Linked DNA regions of Lepisosteus oculatus. The protein of the gene in region 1 purifies or fractionates together with the protein of each later gene. This does not show direct contact. Links are inferred from orthologs where the notes say so. Each region holds a gene or a part of one and is shown on either strand. Other genes may lie near its edges.

Region 1 (8,006 bases):
CAATAACTCCACAAAGGGGAATTATAGACTTTGAGCTGTGTATGTTGCCAAGGATGGTAATGCTTGCCCAGGTGTGTATATTTGGATTGAGGTTAATTCACCTTGGCAGAACATTTCATACCCACATAAAGCTACTGTTTTTTATGCTTCCTTTCAGTTTCTTTTTTGAGCTTGCACTAAAGAACTGGATAATGAATCTTACTGCTACCTAGACATAATGTCGAATTGACATGCACAGGTTTGATGTTTCGCATTTTAAAATCATTGCTTTGGTTCTGTTTTATGTACAATATCATAATGTGTCCAATGTTTTGTATTTATTGTCAGCAACCTAGCAGAAATGTTTATTTAAAATTATTGTCTGGGGGCTTTGCGCTATTTCATATAAGACAAAAAGGCAGAATTTCTAGTCTTCCTTTTCCTAAATATACCCTTTAAGATCAATACATTAGTAAATGAAACAAGCTCTTCAGCTAATCTTGTAGCTGCAAAGCAGCACCTACAATATGTATTGCAGCATTTTCTCAATAATATTTTGTGTGTATTTTTTTGACAAAACTTCAATAAAACTTTCAGAACTGATAGAGTCATTTTGACGTATTGCTTATCTCACGAACAGAGAGGAAGTGACAGACTTTTAAAGGTTGTGATTCCAAAAACACTTAATGACAGTAGATCCTCATGATATTCACTACTATTTGTACCCCAAGGTTTGTACTCTGTTTGTGCACCTTCTGATACACCATGGAAACACAACAGTTTTAAGTTGTACAGCATATCAACAACTCATTGGGCACATACGTTATGTTATTTACATTTTAAATGAAATTAACATAATGTATCTGTCTTTACTGGGCAGAGAGGTTTGATGATCATTTCAGTATTATTATTAGTATTCCTTGAAGAACTTGATTTTAATTCATGTAGTTGAGGTATCTAGAGTAGATTCCTCCTGGTTAAAGAAAACTGTCTGGTTTCTACTGGCATGATTAAAAGTGACTAAGACAGACGCTGCCCCCAAAATTTAGATGGTCTGTTTCAACAACTTTCAGCGGAATAAACAGGTAACTGGCACTGCGCAGGACAGGCCACATACTGGGAGGCAGAGAGTCACCAGACTGCATGTCGTTCTGACCCACCTATGTAATCAGTTTTTAGGTGGCACAGCTACAACTCAAGAGCATCCTTGAAGAAGAATGACTGTAGCTCACAAATCTGCATGAAGATTATCTGCATGCTTGGAGGGCATTCAGGGCTCACAGGTTGACAGCTGGGAGACTAAATCGCGGTTCTCTGTGAAGCCGAGAACGTGGGGATGGAGACCGTGGGAGTGTGGGAGTGTCGCGTTTGCCCGCGGATGATGTTTGGCCCTTTGTTAGACCTGGCGGACGGCGAAGTGTGTGCGATGTCATGTTGCGTGTGGTTCTGAGTGTCTGGACTAGGCAGCAGAAGCACGACGATGTGGAGAGGAATCTGCTTCAACACAAGAACGCCCTCGGAGAATACTAGTCAGTCATGCTGCCATGCTCAGACCTCATATTCTAATTGTTCAGGGCTTCAGTTAAAATAAATCTAGGAATGTGAACGCGTTTGATGACATAATTGTTAAGAAAACTGGAGTGATTAATGCACAACTGTAAAAACAGGATTTAATGACTGCACGGTTTCTGAATGCACTGAAAGCCTTTTTTTTTCCTCAAAGAATGTTTCCAGTCTTTTATGCCAAGGAAAACCACACTTACACATACATTTTCTCTTCTTTTATCTGTGATAATTGTAAGATCCCTTTAATCGTACCTATACCGAAATGCATAAGCAAAACACAGAAGTGCAATAAGTTCGGTCTGTCACCGTTCTCGACTCGTCAGGTGTTCACTGGGTCTCTCACGAACTGACCTACAAAAGAGGAACCGCGTTGTGTTACAGGCAGTTAATACTGTCGGCGCTCTGGTTCGTGTTGTTCAGAGAGCATACCAGAAGATCACACAGCAATCAATGCTTCTTATTCCCAAGTGCTATAAACAGTTTAAAATAGGGTCATTACAAACCAAATGCGTTTTAGCGGAAAACGCCACCTAACTTGTCTTGGGTGACAAATACCATTTAAAAAGCAGATCTCTTCATTCATTGAGCAAGGGTCTGGTGCCAGGTACTGTACCTCTCACTCGGTGTCCTTTCCAGCTCATGTAAATATCCTGAGGTAAGGTGCGCGGAGAGGGTGGAGTTACTGTACGTGTTTGCTCATTACAGAGACCAGGATAAACTCCGGCATGGCGAACAGCAGTAGTTTGCATATAAAACTACTCCTACCCCGGCAAAGTGTCATTCCGTTCAAAAGGGGTTACTTTTGATCCCACATGCTCCTCGCCCCTCCGGCTGCCTGGCGGTCCCACTTCTGGGAAGATTTCAGCTGGAACACCTTCAGACACAAGCCGAGAGTGATGTGTTACATGTCAAAGAATAAAATGCGTAGAGAGACTGCTTGCTCTCACCGCACAAAGAATCTTGATCTTTATTTAATATTATGAAGTTGAATTACCCCAAAGTCTGGCACGAAAATGTGAATCCGACTGATTCTAAAGATCCTCAACGCGTTAGGACTTCGCTTCGATCAGATCACTCAGTTTTAGTTCTCAAAAGAAGCTTGCCAAGAAGCAAATGGTACTGTACTGTACTGTACGTAATTGGATTTGAACATGAGTTCCTTAAAAGAATACATAATTTAAAATGGTCAGGAAGCTCTCTGACAAGGGCAGAGAATCTCACGCCTCAGAACATTTCCACACTGAAGATATTCTATGCAGAGATCATTTTTAACAAACATTATTTAAGTTGTTTGCATTTATTGTATTTCTAAAGCAACAGCTACAGACCTGCTGCACCTTTTTAAAAGTGAACCTGATTTATTCAGGTTTCTGGAGGGTATTCTAGATAGCCTCGCCGCAGCAGCTAAAATACTGTACCCACAATTCACCAGGTTCTCTTTTAAGCTGGTGATGCTTAGCCAGACTTCACGAGAAGAGATGGACAGGCTCTGATTTGAAATTTCATTTGCCATTCTATGTTCAAGTTGGGTTTGTTGAATGACACTTAATCCCTCAGATTACAACTGGCATGCCAGGTCAAAAAAACAAACAAACAAACAAACAACAGTACCCAGTACTATGGATCAGTGACTGGGATAAGCCCTTTTAAGATGATTAGTGGCAGGTTTAGGAAAAGAGATAAACATATACATGACAAGCTGACAATACCTTCAATGGCCTATTTTATTTCAGAGCCCACTGTACCACAATTTAATGATTTACTGTCTTTTGGATCCTGGAATGTTTTATTTAGTAGAGACTATCATGTTTTATTGGAAAATACAGCAAATACATTAAATAATGAATCCTAATCATTGTCCTCACTGGATCATGGACTAATAACAATTGATATATTGTACTGTCTCTCCAATTCTCTTGTGAAGTCATTTATAAATATTGTGAATAACCCATATAAATATTTTACTTTTGATTTACATAACCTGATGCAAATATTTCTAAGAGACAGTTATACGTTTGATATTTATCTTCAGTGTAACATATACATATAATGTGTAAATCATTGTAAAATTAAGGTGTAAGGGTTTGCATTACTGTAAATATTTTGCAAACATTATTTTATAAAACAGTCTACAATAGCTGCGTAACAGCTTTTAAACCCCATAAACCTTCAACAAGATTGTGAACCCTAAGGTGTATTATGTTCACAATCTTGTTGAAGGTTTATGTTTCAAGCAATGCTAGGGAGCAATATTTATCTAAAAAGGAGGTGAATGTTGCAGTTGCCGACACTCATGAGACTCTTTAAGGAGTGTACAGTAGTTTCCTGCATTAGACTCTCTCCCATCTTTTCACCACTTCCTGCTGAGGCTTTTCGTTTGGAAATGAAACCCAAATGAGATGAAGCCCACATCTGTAGGAACAGCGCCTGGTTTGTGACAAATGTGGTGTGAACTCTGATGGGGAGGTCCCTTCACACGACTCCGGGAATTGAAAACTGTGCTCTCGTCGCCTTCTGGGAAGCTTTCCGAACGGAAGACACCTCCCGGATTCGCTGCAGTCGGTGGAGTGGTGCTGATTACTGCATGGTAAACGAACAGCTGGAGTTAGCTGGAGTTAACGCAGGACAGCTCAGGACAGGGCAAGGGCTGTGCCAAAGGCCACATTTCACATCCTGCAAACAGCTCCTGCCAGCCTCACCCCTGACATTGCTCACTTTCAAGTGAAAACACCACCAAGGACAACAGCCCATGGATTTCAAAAGAGCAAGAAACCTCCATGATGAAGGAAGAAACACCACGATTCAGCCATTGAACCTTCTCCAGGTGTATCGGTGTTTTGTAGGGTGTAGTTAACCTTTTCTTCCTCCAGTACGGAGTAACTCAGCCCCCCCCCACTCAGACAAACAGTATACTGGATTTCTAAGCATTTTAGTAATGAACGTTAACTTAAACATGAAACTGCATTTAAGAGTGCACATGAATAATGGCAATAATGATAGTGCCCTTTGCATTTTAAAAGTATGTTAAAATTAAAAGGTAGAGGAATTCCTCAGTGGCGGTAGGAGCATGAACAAGCTCATAAAAAACAGAAGCAGCTAGTTCGGGCTGAAGATGAATGCACTTTGCACAGAGACGTGGTTCTTGAGGTCTGTGAGCTGAACTGCTGAACTGCTTAGGAGAAACAGTCTCATCGGACTGTGGGTCCCTTACCAGATGTGTGCTTCTGCACGGCGGGTGTTTCGGTACAGACTGTTACCTACAGAAGACGAGAGATAACACCACTGTCCTGCACAGATGGTGAAGGTCTGGCAAGGGCATTGTACTGTCACCCTTGTCATTGAAACAGTAAGCCCATCCCAGCATTCCGTTCAATGTTGTTGGCGGTTTAGAATCTAATATTGTTGATTTTGTTTTAAAAGGTGGACTGTTACTGATTTGTCCCAAATACAGAGTTTCATTCTTTTATGGGCACCAAGTACTCAGCTCTAAGGTTTTATTTTCTTTTTGGTAGCAGGTTTTAGGGAATTTTCGAATGACATAAGTGAGAGGCTAGCTGTCAGATAGCCATGGTAGCAAATCAAACTACATTTGTACAGTAGTAGAACATATTATGCTGGAGCTCGTTTCTCAGCGTACTGAAGTTTTAAAACTATGTCGTGTTAGCCATAAAAAAAATCGCAGAGGGCAAGTACATGTGTCACTTGGTTGGCCTTGGCTCGAATATTATATAGACTATACTGTCCGTGCACTGTATCTTGAATTTTTGCAGTCTTTGTTGTAGGAACTTGAGAAAACTCCAACTCCCAGAATGCAAGGCAACCCGAATAGGAAGTTGTGGCAGTCAGTTGTGGCGAGTTGGGCGGCGTACAGCGAACCGCGACCGAGAAGGGTAGTTTTTATTTTGTGATCTAGAATATGGGATGCATTTATTAATGCAGTCTGTTTAACGGTGTGTTTTCAACTCCCTCGGAAATCACTCACAGGTAGGTGCGCGGTGAGTCCCTGTTTTTACCGTCGGGAGGAAACGAAATTGTTCCGGCTGTCACCTGGGCCTGTAGATATTTTTCCATTTGCCGTGCCTGGAAACTTGCTGTCAGATCCTGGTTTTGGGAAAGGCTTTTGTGGTTGTGCGTCTTGCGGGACAATCGCAGCACGTAGCGCTCAACAACACGCAGTTCTTCGCATAAACAGACGAAACGCGCAGATGCTAGCAGTAATAATACAAGCTTAAATAAGAAATAATGATGAAACCGATTTGCATACGGTACTTGAGCACCGTGCTTTGACGTTTTGCAAAGAGAGGGCTTCTTTGCTAAACTCCTCAGATGTACTGTTTACATTTACAGCCAACTCTTATTAATTGCTTCGGCATGGTAGAGGTAATTGCTTATCTACCGGATCGAAATATATCAGATTTGTTGATTAATGTCGTGGTGGATTAGTGCTGAAAACGCTGTTAATTCACATTGTTACGGGTGCAAGATGCTTTCCATATTAAGGGCAAAGAATCTCTTGTGCACGCAATTTATACGCATTGTTGTGCGTGTCAAGTACTTTGCGATTGTGTGCACAAAGTAATGTTTGCAATGATAATGTTGGTGTGTGTTTGCAAAGTGTCAGTTTGTGTGCGTACGGTAGTGTTTATTGTGACACGGTAGTGTTTATTAGTAGGTGGACAAGTACAGGTTACCATAAACCCCTGGCAATCACATTGAAGGCACATACATTGCCAAGCAGACGTGTAGAATATGATTTCTCATTTTGTGTAACAGTGTGCTGCCAAGTGCACATTGCTTGCTAAGAAGACAGAATTGAATATACACTCATTTATTACGTGTAGAAATCAGTGTATTGCAGACTCCATACCCTTAACCTGTCAGGTGGACAGGAATAAATGTATTGAAACAGGCACTAGCTGAGAGAAAAACTTTCATGACACTCAAATCAACCACTGAAGTGCTTTGGAACTCTCTGACCTTCTGTTTCTGGAAATGTCAAACTGTTGCGTGCGTTGTGGTTTTGCTTTTTTCAGGCACCCTAGAATTTTGTCCGAAATGGAAATCCTTTTATTGTGCCAAGTGGTACAAATTAGAAAGGTTTGAAGGAAAATCAGAAACCAGATGTAACAAAGTGGAAAATTGTCTTTTTTTGTTTGTTTTTTTTTTATCTCGGCATGACCGAATGATTTTCTTTTGTCTTTAATCAGGTGATTTAACATTCCTAAATGGCTGAAGAGGTTTATTTTAGAATTCAGACACGTCATTGTACTTGCTGTTTCACAGAGCCCACACAACTCTAATGTTTGAGAAATATTCCAAAAACTGAGAGTTTAAGTTCTCAGGATGATTGAATCCCCAGGGCCTGACAGAATCTTCTTTAATTGCACTCGTGGAAACTAGAGATGTTTTTCAGAAGCCATGGATGCAGCTCTCCCAGCCGTCCCTGAAGACAGGGGAAGGAACCAGGGACTGGAGAATTGCTAATAACATGTCCATCCGTAGAATTAGTGAGAAAACTGGAGTAAGACAAATATGTTTGACTTCTGTTGCATGTAGGGTTAAAGAAACTATCATTTGACATAAACTAGTGGATTGCCTATATGGAATTAAGTTCCTAAGGGATAATCGGCATAGATACAGAAAAGGTAAATGAGAGGTTTTGGACATTTGGAGGAAATGTTTGTGTGTTTAATTTGAGAATTGTTTGATAGAAGATCTAGTAATTGGTGGAGTACCACAGGGGTCTGTACTAGGACCACTGCCCTTTCTGATTTAGAACAAGAATCTAGATTCTGATAGAGTAAAGTAGTCAAATTGGTGCCGTTGATACAAAAATGGGAGGATCAGCAAACAAGTAGTTCAGAAGGGCTAGGACAGTTCCTGACCATAGACTCTGTCGCTAGAGAGCTAGTAAAGTCTGTAAATCTGTTGTCTCTCAGGCCTATCTCAGCTTTGAGAGGAGGGCGGAGGGGTGGCTCTGTGGCTCAGGATCTGTGCCTGTGGCTGGAAGGTTGCTGGTTCAAATCCTGCAGCTGGCAGAGGAATCCTACTCCGTTGGGACCCTGAGCAAGGCCCTTCACCCTAACTGCTCCAGGGGCGCCGTACAATGGCAGACCCAGCGCTCTGACCCCCAGCTTCTCTCCCTGTCTGTGTGTCTGTGTCTCCATGGAGAAAAGCTGGGGTATGCGAAAAGACGAATTCCTAATGCAAGAAATTGTATAGGGCTAATAAAGAAACATTATCATCACACATTATAGCTGTGTGAGGAGGGAGGTGGTTGTTGGGATTGTCAGTATCACTGGCGATTATTGAAGGTACCTCGCGTGGGAACGTCTGTTCTTCCTGTGTCGCTGCTCGGCTCCCCGCGCCCCAGCCCCAGAGCCCGGTCCGCGGCTGGCCCCGCCGCTCATAGCGACTCCTCTGCTTGCAGGCGGCGGCAATGGAGGAGACGGACAGGGAGA
Region 2 (7,981 bases), on another chromosome or scaffold:
GCCACCAGGGGTCTCGGGCAGAGGGGGCTCGATTAGTCGCACGCTTCACGTACCCAAAGAAGGGCCGGCGGGTCTGGCATGGGCCGTCGCAGCGCCACCAGTGTGTCCGGTACAGGTCCACCTCATCATGGAAGCTGTGGTAGATCTGAAAGACACCGCGGAAATCCATCAGCACTCGCCGATCATCCAATTTTGCCAAACTGCCAACCCCTCCCCCATGTGGCATGGCCGATATTGTGAAAAAATCCAAAAATAGGTTATAAAATCTAAAGTTCTCCTACTGCATTTCAAGCTAAAGTCTGTCTCCTGTCTCATTCTCCCATCCCGTGAAGCTGGCTCTGGGGTCAGAATGGCATTTATTATGGCACAAAAGAATAGGAGTCATACTCATCATGGGCCAATGCACAGGTGTCCACTGTTGGGATTAGCTGAGACTGGAACTGTTTTTACCTGCCTTCCTGCTAAAGAACATAAGATCAGTTATAACTGAAAAGGTACTATATTGGATCACCCAGTTCATTGTTTTTTTCAGTAAAAGGTTCACAAGGTTTAGCAAAAGTACTGGAACTAGGCAAATGCTGCAGTTTGTCTTCTTGCTTGGAAGCTCATGTTTTACAAGTAAAACCTGCTTTCCTCTCTTTTTTGAAATTGACATGGATAAATCTAGGCACTTGAAAATGTCATCCTAAAAGCAGTGAATATTATGAATAAAAATGTGAAGCTTTACAGGATAGCCTTGTGTGTTATATTTGTTCAAGAACTTCACAATCACTCTGAATGATTGCATCGCTTAAGATCATTAAAATAATCAGAAAAAACTGAAAATAAAATAATGGTTATGTATTGAAAAATGCATTGTGCAGACCTAAACAAATTTAAATGTCATACTCTATATACTATTGCAGCCAACAATAAAGTAATATGAAGAAAATGTAGTTCCTTTATTCAAAAACATTAAAATAAAAAATTAAGTGATAACTGCATAATACACAACAGAACTAGGCAAAAATAGAATATTCCTATATATTTATAGTAAATATACATATTCCTTTGATTTATTAAGAGCTAAATATAAAGCACATAAACATAACATGACAGTTTTGCAGCAAAGAGAAAAGAATAAACTAACATTAAGCCACATGTCATATCTGGGGTAATATTATTCCATCTATGAACTGGCTTCATCACTCTGTTCTCCTGCCCACTGATAGCTGATGTGTGGTGAGTGTCCTGTGTGCTCTATGGCTGCCATTACATCATCAAGGTAGGGGCTACACATTGGAGGTGGTGGAGGGGAGTCTCCATTACTTGGAAAGTGCTCTGAGCAGAGCAGCCACTTGAAATTCTGTAATCCTGTAAGGATTATTATAATCATCATCATCCAAAAACCTGGCACACCACCTTATTAGTTCCATGTTTATCCACAGGGCCTATGTTACCATAGACAGAGAGGTCAGATGAGTTTCAACAGATCTTCCCTGCCTCTCTATATCTGGGGTAATGGGCACTTATTTTACACATTTTAATACATTTTGGAAATATGTGAGGTCTGTGTTGAGCTATATGTGGGATAATATCATCCCCCATCTCCTGAGATATGAAATAACTCAATGCTCTTGACTTTTAATGCTTTACAAATTAGTTTTCTTAGCAGCGATAACTGCAGCATAAAAGGCTATGGCATGATATGTAATAGAGCCTGATTTCTTTTTCTTGTGTTTGGTCAGGATGTTTACATGATAATTTGCTTCTAGAAAGAAAGCTTGGCAGCACCCTGTACTTTTTGCTACAATGTTGGCTTTGGACACTGCTCGTATATCTGATGTTTCATATTGATTGTCTTAGTACCTTTTGCTCCCTGTTTTTCTTTCTTTTCTTTCTCTTTTGTTTTTACTTTTGTTCTCTCCCCTCCTCAGTGGGGCTGGGGTTTAAATAAATCCAAGACTTGTTCAAGAAAAAAAATCAACGTTATGACTTAAGAACAAAACCTCACTGTGGTGTTAACGCAAAACAAAAAACTGAAATAATTTGAAGGACCTTTTAAATAACTGATTTTTATTTTTGAAAAACAAACTCTAATGTTGTTCTTATATAAAAAGTGCTTTCTTCCCCATCAGTCACCTACAGTAATGTTGGTCCCGCTGGCTTTGTTGATCCTGTTCATATGCTTGCAGAACTCTGGTCCATGTCCATCCCGATCGCGGTTATTTTGAGTGACAAAAAGCAACGCATGGATCATCTCATGTAAGAGCGTCTGGAAAAAAACACAAATATTCAGTCATACTCATGTCATGAACTTTTAAAAAAATAACCTTTTCTACTTTCTTAAGTTCAGTGCACTGAACACTTTTCCAGACATGTGACAGCATTGAAAACTCAGAGGGAGATGCGTATTTACTACCTACTGCAAACAAATGCCTTGACTTAATCACTTAAGTGTGTAATACAGTGAATGTAGGAATTTAATAGGAAATTTAGAGTGGTAGTATATGCAGACTGGTGAGGGCTCAGAAAGTATAAACTGAATGCATCCTGGATTCACGTGAGCCCCATTAAAGACCAGCTGGATGAGCTGGGACAAAGTTTGGCATCTAGGGCTCAGAGACCAGTGAACCAGCCCAGTGATGTGTGTCTAGGCTCTTTCAGAGTAATGGGACACAATTGCACAAGACAGCATTAACAACCTGGTCAATAAAATATCAGTGCACCTGATGGTAAGGGTTGCAGTTGTAAGGCTTATGTTTCTTTTGATGCTCAGTTAACTTGTTTGGCAATAACGACAAACTCAACTTGTCCTTTCATTCACTTCTAAGTAAAAGTTACTGGATTTCAGAAATTCAGAATTCAGAAATTCAGAAAATAAAGAACAAGGGCACAAGACTGTGGGGCTTTGTTAGTTTAGCCTTGGAAATTCCACAGGTAACGCAAGCCGATGCAGCAGACCGGCAGGACTGACCTCAACCAGGTCCCGCCGCGGTCTGAGCTTCAACAACGGTTCGCTGAGGCGGATTGAGCACAGGCCTCCTCGCCCTTCGTATGAGCACACACCTGCACACCTGTGGCAGGAAAACAGCACCTTTCAAACCATCCCGCACTCCCACTTCACAGCAGTTAGAGCCATTTCAGATTTTAGGCTCCGTGAAGGGTAGGATCTTGCAGGATATTTAAAGCTTGTCACCTTATTTAAGGAAACTGCAGAGACAAAACTGGAAATAATAAATTCTAAATACCCTGTTTACACACACATGCATATCTGATTACTTGTGTCATCAGTTTCATTTATCAAAAGCATACAGCTCACAAAATCTGAAATGGATCAGACTTGCATACAAATACAAATATGTCTACCCCTGCATCTGAGTAAATAGCAGTAGCCTCAACTTGTATAACTCCGTCATTCCCCCAAAAAACTAGGGTATTTTATGAGAAGGGAAAAAAAAACTTTTGAAATGACAGTCTAATGTTTACGAATCTAAATATCTGGAAAACTAAATATCAAGAAGTACTCAGGACTATTCAAGACTATTCAAGAGCTAGCCTAATTTTTAACACTTGTCCTACTGTGCCTTAAAGTGCGCTCCACTCCAATAATAGTAATACTAATATATAGTACTGTATATACAATAGATATAGGAATATTTAATATTATATAATTATATAAGCGTTATATTCACAACATGAGAATCAGATAAGACTTCTTCCAACTATGTGGCAGACTTTTACAAACGCCAATCATCCACACAATTTAAACGGATTAAGCAGAAAGCAGATAATTTTAGTATTTTAATTATCTATGCACATAAGAAGAGCAAAAAAATACTCGGTAGATTTTTAAAGCTCACAAAACCATACATGGATCGAACTGCTAATAAAACTCTTTAAAAAAAGTCTTACTTTCTTTTTAAAGGAGTTTAAATCTATCATTAGCTACAGTTTTTGAAATGTTGAAATATAAACGTGGGGTATGAATCTGTTCGACATTATTTATCACGGGTACTTAGCGGAACGACTATGAAATGCAGTAACATCATGTTGGAATATAAAACGTGGCAGCGGAGCATCTCCAGGGTATACTGGATGTCATTCCCAAGCAACGGAAAAGTTGGGTGGCTTACAGTGTCATTCGTGGGCTCCATTTCACCTCCACCCCGGCCAGTCTGCCCCAGAAGAACATGTCGTTGAACTGCAGGAACATCGCCCTGACATCGGGGCTGGGGTCCAGCATCTCCCACGACTCGTCCACTATGGACAGCGGTCTCTCAGGTCTAAAAGAGGACCGAGGGTAAGTAACAAGCTCATCACTGGTTTCCACTCTCCTCTTCTTATTTTGAACGTAATCGTCATCGTCGTCAACGATGGAGACGGACGCTTCTTGATCAAATTGGTCCTGTAACTGAAGAGCTAGCAAGAAATCCTCGTCCATTGACATCCCAATACTAGCACTGTTCACTGAAGCTAATTACTAGTTAGCTATCGTCAAAGTGAAAAAAAAGTTAGTTTTCCCCATCTCTATTTCTTGTGTTTTTTCAATGAAGACATGACGGCAGTTTCATAAAATCATTGCTATTCACATAAAAGTGTAACATCTTATCTTTAAAAAACAAACTTAACAGCCCGAGTGTATAAAACCAACCACCTATGTTGAATAAAAAATGAACAGCTGCTATATTGAACTGCATGCTGGGATACGATTACCCTCCCTCGTCTTCTTCCTGTATATCATTGTCCTACTATGTACTTACTCGGAGTTCATGGTGATAAATTTATTCCAAAAAATATGATAATGGGAGATTATCTGAATTTTTAAGAAAAAAAACACACTTTTGTTGAATTATTAAACTATTTTTCTTTTTTTATTACACAAGGAACCATATTTTTATTAAATTATTGAATTCTGTTTTTTGTAGAGCACCTCATTGTTGGCCACCCAGAAAAAAAAGAAGGTCCTATGATTTCACTGGGAGTTGGTCAGTTTGTTATTGTAAGAGGTTTCCGGCTGTTTCCGTGAAATAATTCGGACACGCAGTATAAACATAAACCTGACGAGTTTTTTTTTCACTAGTGATACTGTGAAAAGGGAAATGGCAGACACTGCAAACAGACTACGTAAGCAACTGGAATCGCCAAATTTCGATCCACAGAATTATGTTAAGCAGCTCTCTCAGCAGTCAGATGGTGACAGAGACCTGCAAGAGCACAGGCAAAAAATACAAAATCTGGCAGATGAGACGGCACAAAACCTCAAGAAGAATGTCTACAAGAATTACAGACAGTTTATCGAGACTGCCAAAGAAATTTCTTATTTGGAGAGCGAAATGTATCAGCTCAGCCACATTCTAACCGAACAGAAGAGTATAATGGAGAGCATCACTCAGACGCTGCTCTCCACGGACAAAGATGAAGCTGCGAAGGAAATGCTGGCTGCCTTCCCGAAGGAAACCGAAGAGTTAAAGCAGAGAACGCTAACAACACTTCTGGAGAAAGTAGAGGGCTGTAAAAACATTATGGAGACCCCTGGAAGGTATTTAGTTTATAACGGAGATTTGTTGGAATATGATGTTGATAACATGTCCCAAATCCAAAAGGTTCATGCCTTTTTGATGAATGATTGCCTTCTCATTGCTACTTGGCTTCCCAACCGACGGGGTGCAGTGAGGTACAAGTACAACGCCCTGTACGACCTGGACAGCTTTGCTATAGTCAATGTGAAAGACAACCCCCCCATGAAAGACATGTTCAAAATCTTGATGTTTCCAGATAGCAGGATCTTCCAGGCAGAGAACAGTAAGATTAAGAAAGAGTGGCTGGAGATTCTGGATGAAACCAAAAAAAATAAGGCAGTGAAGGAGAGGCACAAGAAAGAGGAGGAGACACCCAATTCCCCAGTGCGACAAGAAGTGTCAAACAACCCTTTTGATGAGGAAGAGGCCATGGGTTTGCAGGAGACTGTGGACTTGAGCTTAGAATGGATTCAGGAGTTGCCAGAGGATCTAGATGTCTGCATTGCACAGCGTGACTTTGAAGGAGCTGTAGACCTGTTGGACAAGCTGAATGAGTACCTGAAAGACCAACCAGTGAACCAGGCCGTCAAGGAGCTGAGGGTCAAGGTAGATGAGAGGGTGCGGCAGCTGACCGAGGTCCTGGTATTCGAGCTCTCCCCAGACCGGTCCCTGCGGGGTGGCCCCAAAGCCACACGGCGCGCAGTTTCCCAGCTGATCCGTCTGGGCCAGTCCACCAAGGCCTGTGAGCTCTTCCTGAAGAACAGGGCAGCTGCCGTTCAAACAGCCATCCGTCAGCTGCGTATCGAGGGTGCCACCTTGCTGTACATACACAAGCTCTGCAACATCTTCTTCACCAGCCTGCTTGAGACCGCCAAGGAGTTTGAGATGGACTTTGCTGGGAACACTGGGTGCTACTCCGCATTTGTGGTGTGGTCTCGTTCAGCCATGAGGATGTTTGTGGATGCCTTCAGCAAGCAGGTCTTTGATAGCAAGGAGAACCTCTCCACTGCTGCCGAGTGTGTGAAGGTCGCAAAGGAACATTGCATGCAACTAAGTGAAATTGGTCTGGACCTCACCTTCACCCTCCAGTCTCTCCTAGTCAAAGACATCAAAGCTGCCCTTCACAGCTATAAGGAGATCATCATTGAGGCCACGAAGCACCGCAACTCTGAGGAAATGTGGCGCAAAATGAACTTGATGACCCCTGAGGCCCTAGGGAAATTGAAAGAAGAGATGCGCAACTGTGGGGTGGGCAGCTTTGAGCAGTACACTGGTGACGACTGCTGGGTAAATCTCAGCTACACCATCGTTGCCTTTACCAAGCAAATGATGGCCTTCCTGGAGGAAGGGCTGAAGCTCTACTTCCCTGAGCTGCACATGGTGCTCCTGGAGAGCCTGCGGGAAATAATTCTGGTTGCTGTTCAGCATGTGGACTACAGCCTGCGATGCGAGCAGGAGACTGAGAAAAAAGCCTTTATCGTTCAGAACGCATCCTTCCTCTACGAAACGGTCCTTCCTGTGGTGGAGAAGCGATTTGAAGAAGGAGTGGGGAAGCCAGCCAAGCAACTGCAGGAACTAAGGAATGGGTCACGAATGATGCGCGTCAACCCTGATAGTACAACCTCTCTAGTGTAAGAGGACAGTTTTCCAACCCATGAACAGAATTTCACAGCGCAATTCCAGTGATTGCGGGATTTCATTGCTCAGGTCGCGTGTCGTGGGAGCTGGGTTTCTGCTAAGAGAATCAGTTTGTGAGCATTAGCCAGTTGGAAATGTAACTTATTATGTTTAATTTTCTGTCATTGCTTTTGCAATTTCTTTAAAAAAAAGAATGACAGCAGTTAAGGTGATGTTACTTTCTCTGCTTAAATTCTTGAAGATGGCTACATCAGCTGTATTGAACTTTGATTTTTTTTTTCTTTTCACTTCATACTCATCTCTGTACAGCATGTGAGGCTGATTTCATTTCCTTTTCTGGTTCTGCTAAGGGATATATGTCATATAAAAATACAAAAAGACAAAATTGCCTTAAAAGACATCTCTGAGCTGATAGGCAGAAAGTGTCCAGGGTGAGTAAATTACACTTATAGAAAGTTCTAAAATCACAATAATCTTATGTCTGCCAGCCTCCCCTTGCTGTGGGTATTTCTTCAGCTTTGAAAAGTATTTCTTGTCAAGCTGTTTATACTGGAATATATACCTGTTGTAGGGAATATTCATCTAACAGTCAGAACCTTTTACATTTTTTCAAATAACCGCATGGAGGAGAAACAAATTGCCTAATTCATTTTTGCCAAAGCATTCATTGGCTAACAAAACCTCAAATTAAGTCTTTTCATTTTCATGAACCCTGAAATGGCATATAATGCATGGAAATAAAAGTGAAATTATTAACTCTCTCTTGTGCCATAGCGCTTTACAAATATGAACTAATTTTCAGAAAAAGAGATTATGCAAAATTTTGATTCAGTTATTTAAAG

The links.
Region 2: the proteins of exoc3 (region 1) and exoc8 purify together in Homo sapiens (affinity purification with mass spectrometry; 5 studies listed by BioGRID and IntAct, counting the BioPlex papers as one, with this or other methods). This does not show direct contact. The link is inferred for Lepisosteus oculatus from reciprocal best matches to the Homo sapiens genes EXOC3 and EXOC8.

What each region holds. Positions count from the first base shown.
Region 1 is NC_090701.1:3,226,764-3,234,769, forward strand, and holds the start of exoc3 (exocyst complex component 3), read left to right. Parts: upstream 1-4,994; 5' UTR 4,995-5,540; intron 5,541-5,566; exon of another isoform or gene 5,567-7,190; intron 7,191-7,975; 5' UTR 7,976-7,984; coding exon 7,985-8,006. UniProt on the Homo sapiens protein: Component of the exocyst complex involved in the docking of exocytic vesicles with fusion sites on the plasma membrane.
Region 2 is NC_090697.1:55,327,123-55,335,103, forward strand, and holds the start of exoc8 (exocyst complex component 8), read left to right. Parts: upstream 1-4,938; 5' UTR 4,939-5,081; coding exon 5,082-7,136; 3' UTR 7,137-7,981. Other genes in the region: DNA-dependent metalloprotease SPRTN, read right to left, coding at 1-145, 2,126-2,254, 2,957-3,056, 4,116-4,429. UniProt on the Homo sapiens protein: Component of the exocyst complex involved in the docking of exocytic vesicles with fusion sites on the plasma membrane.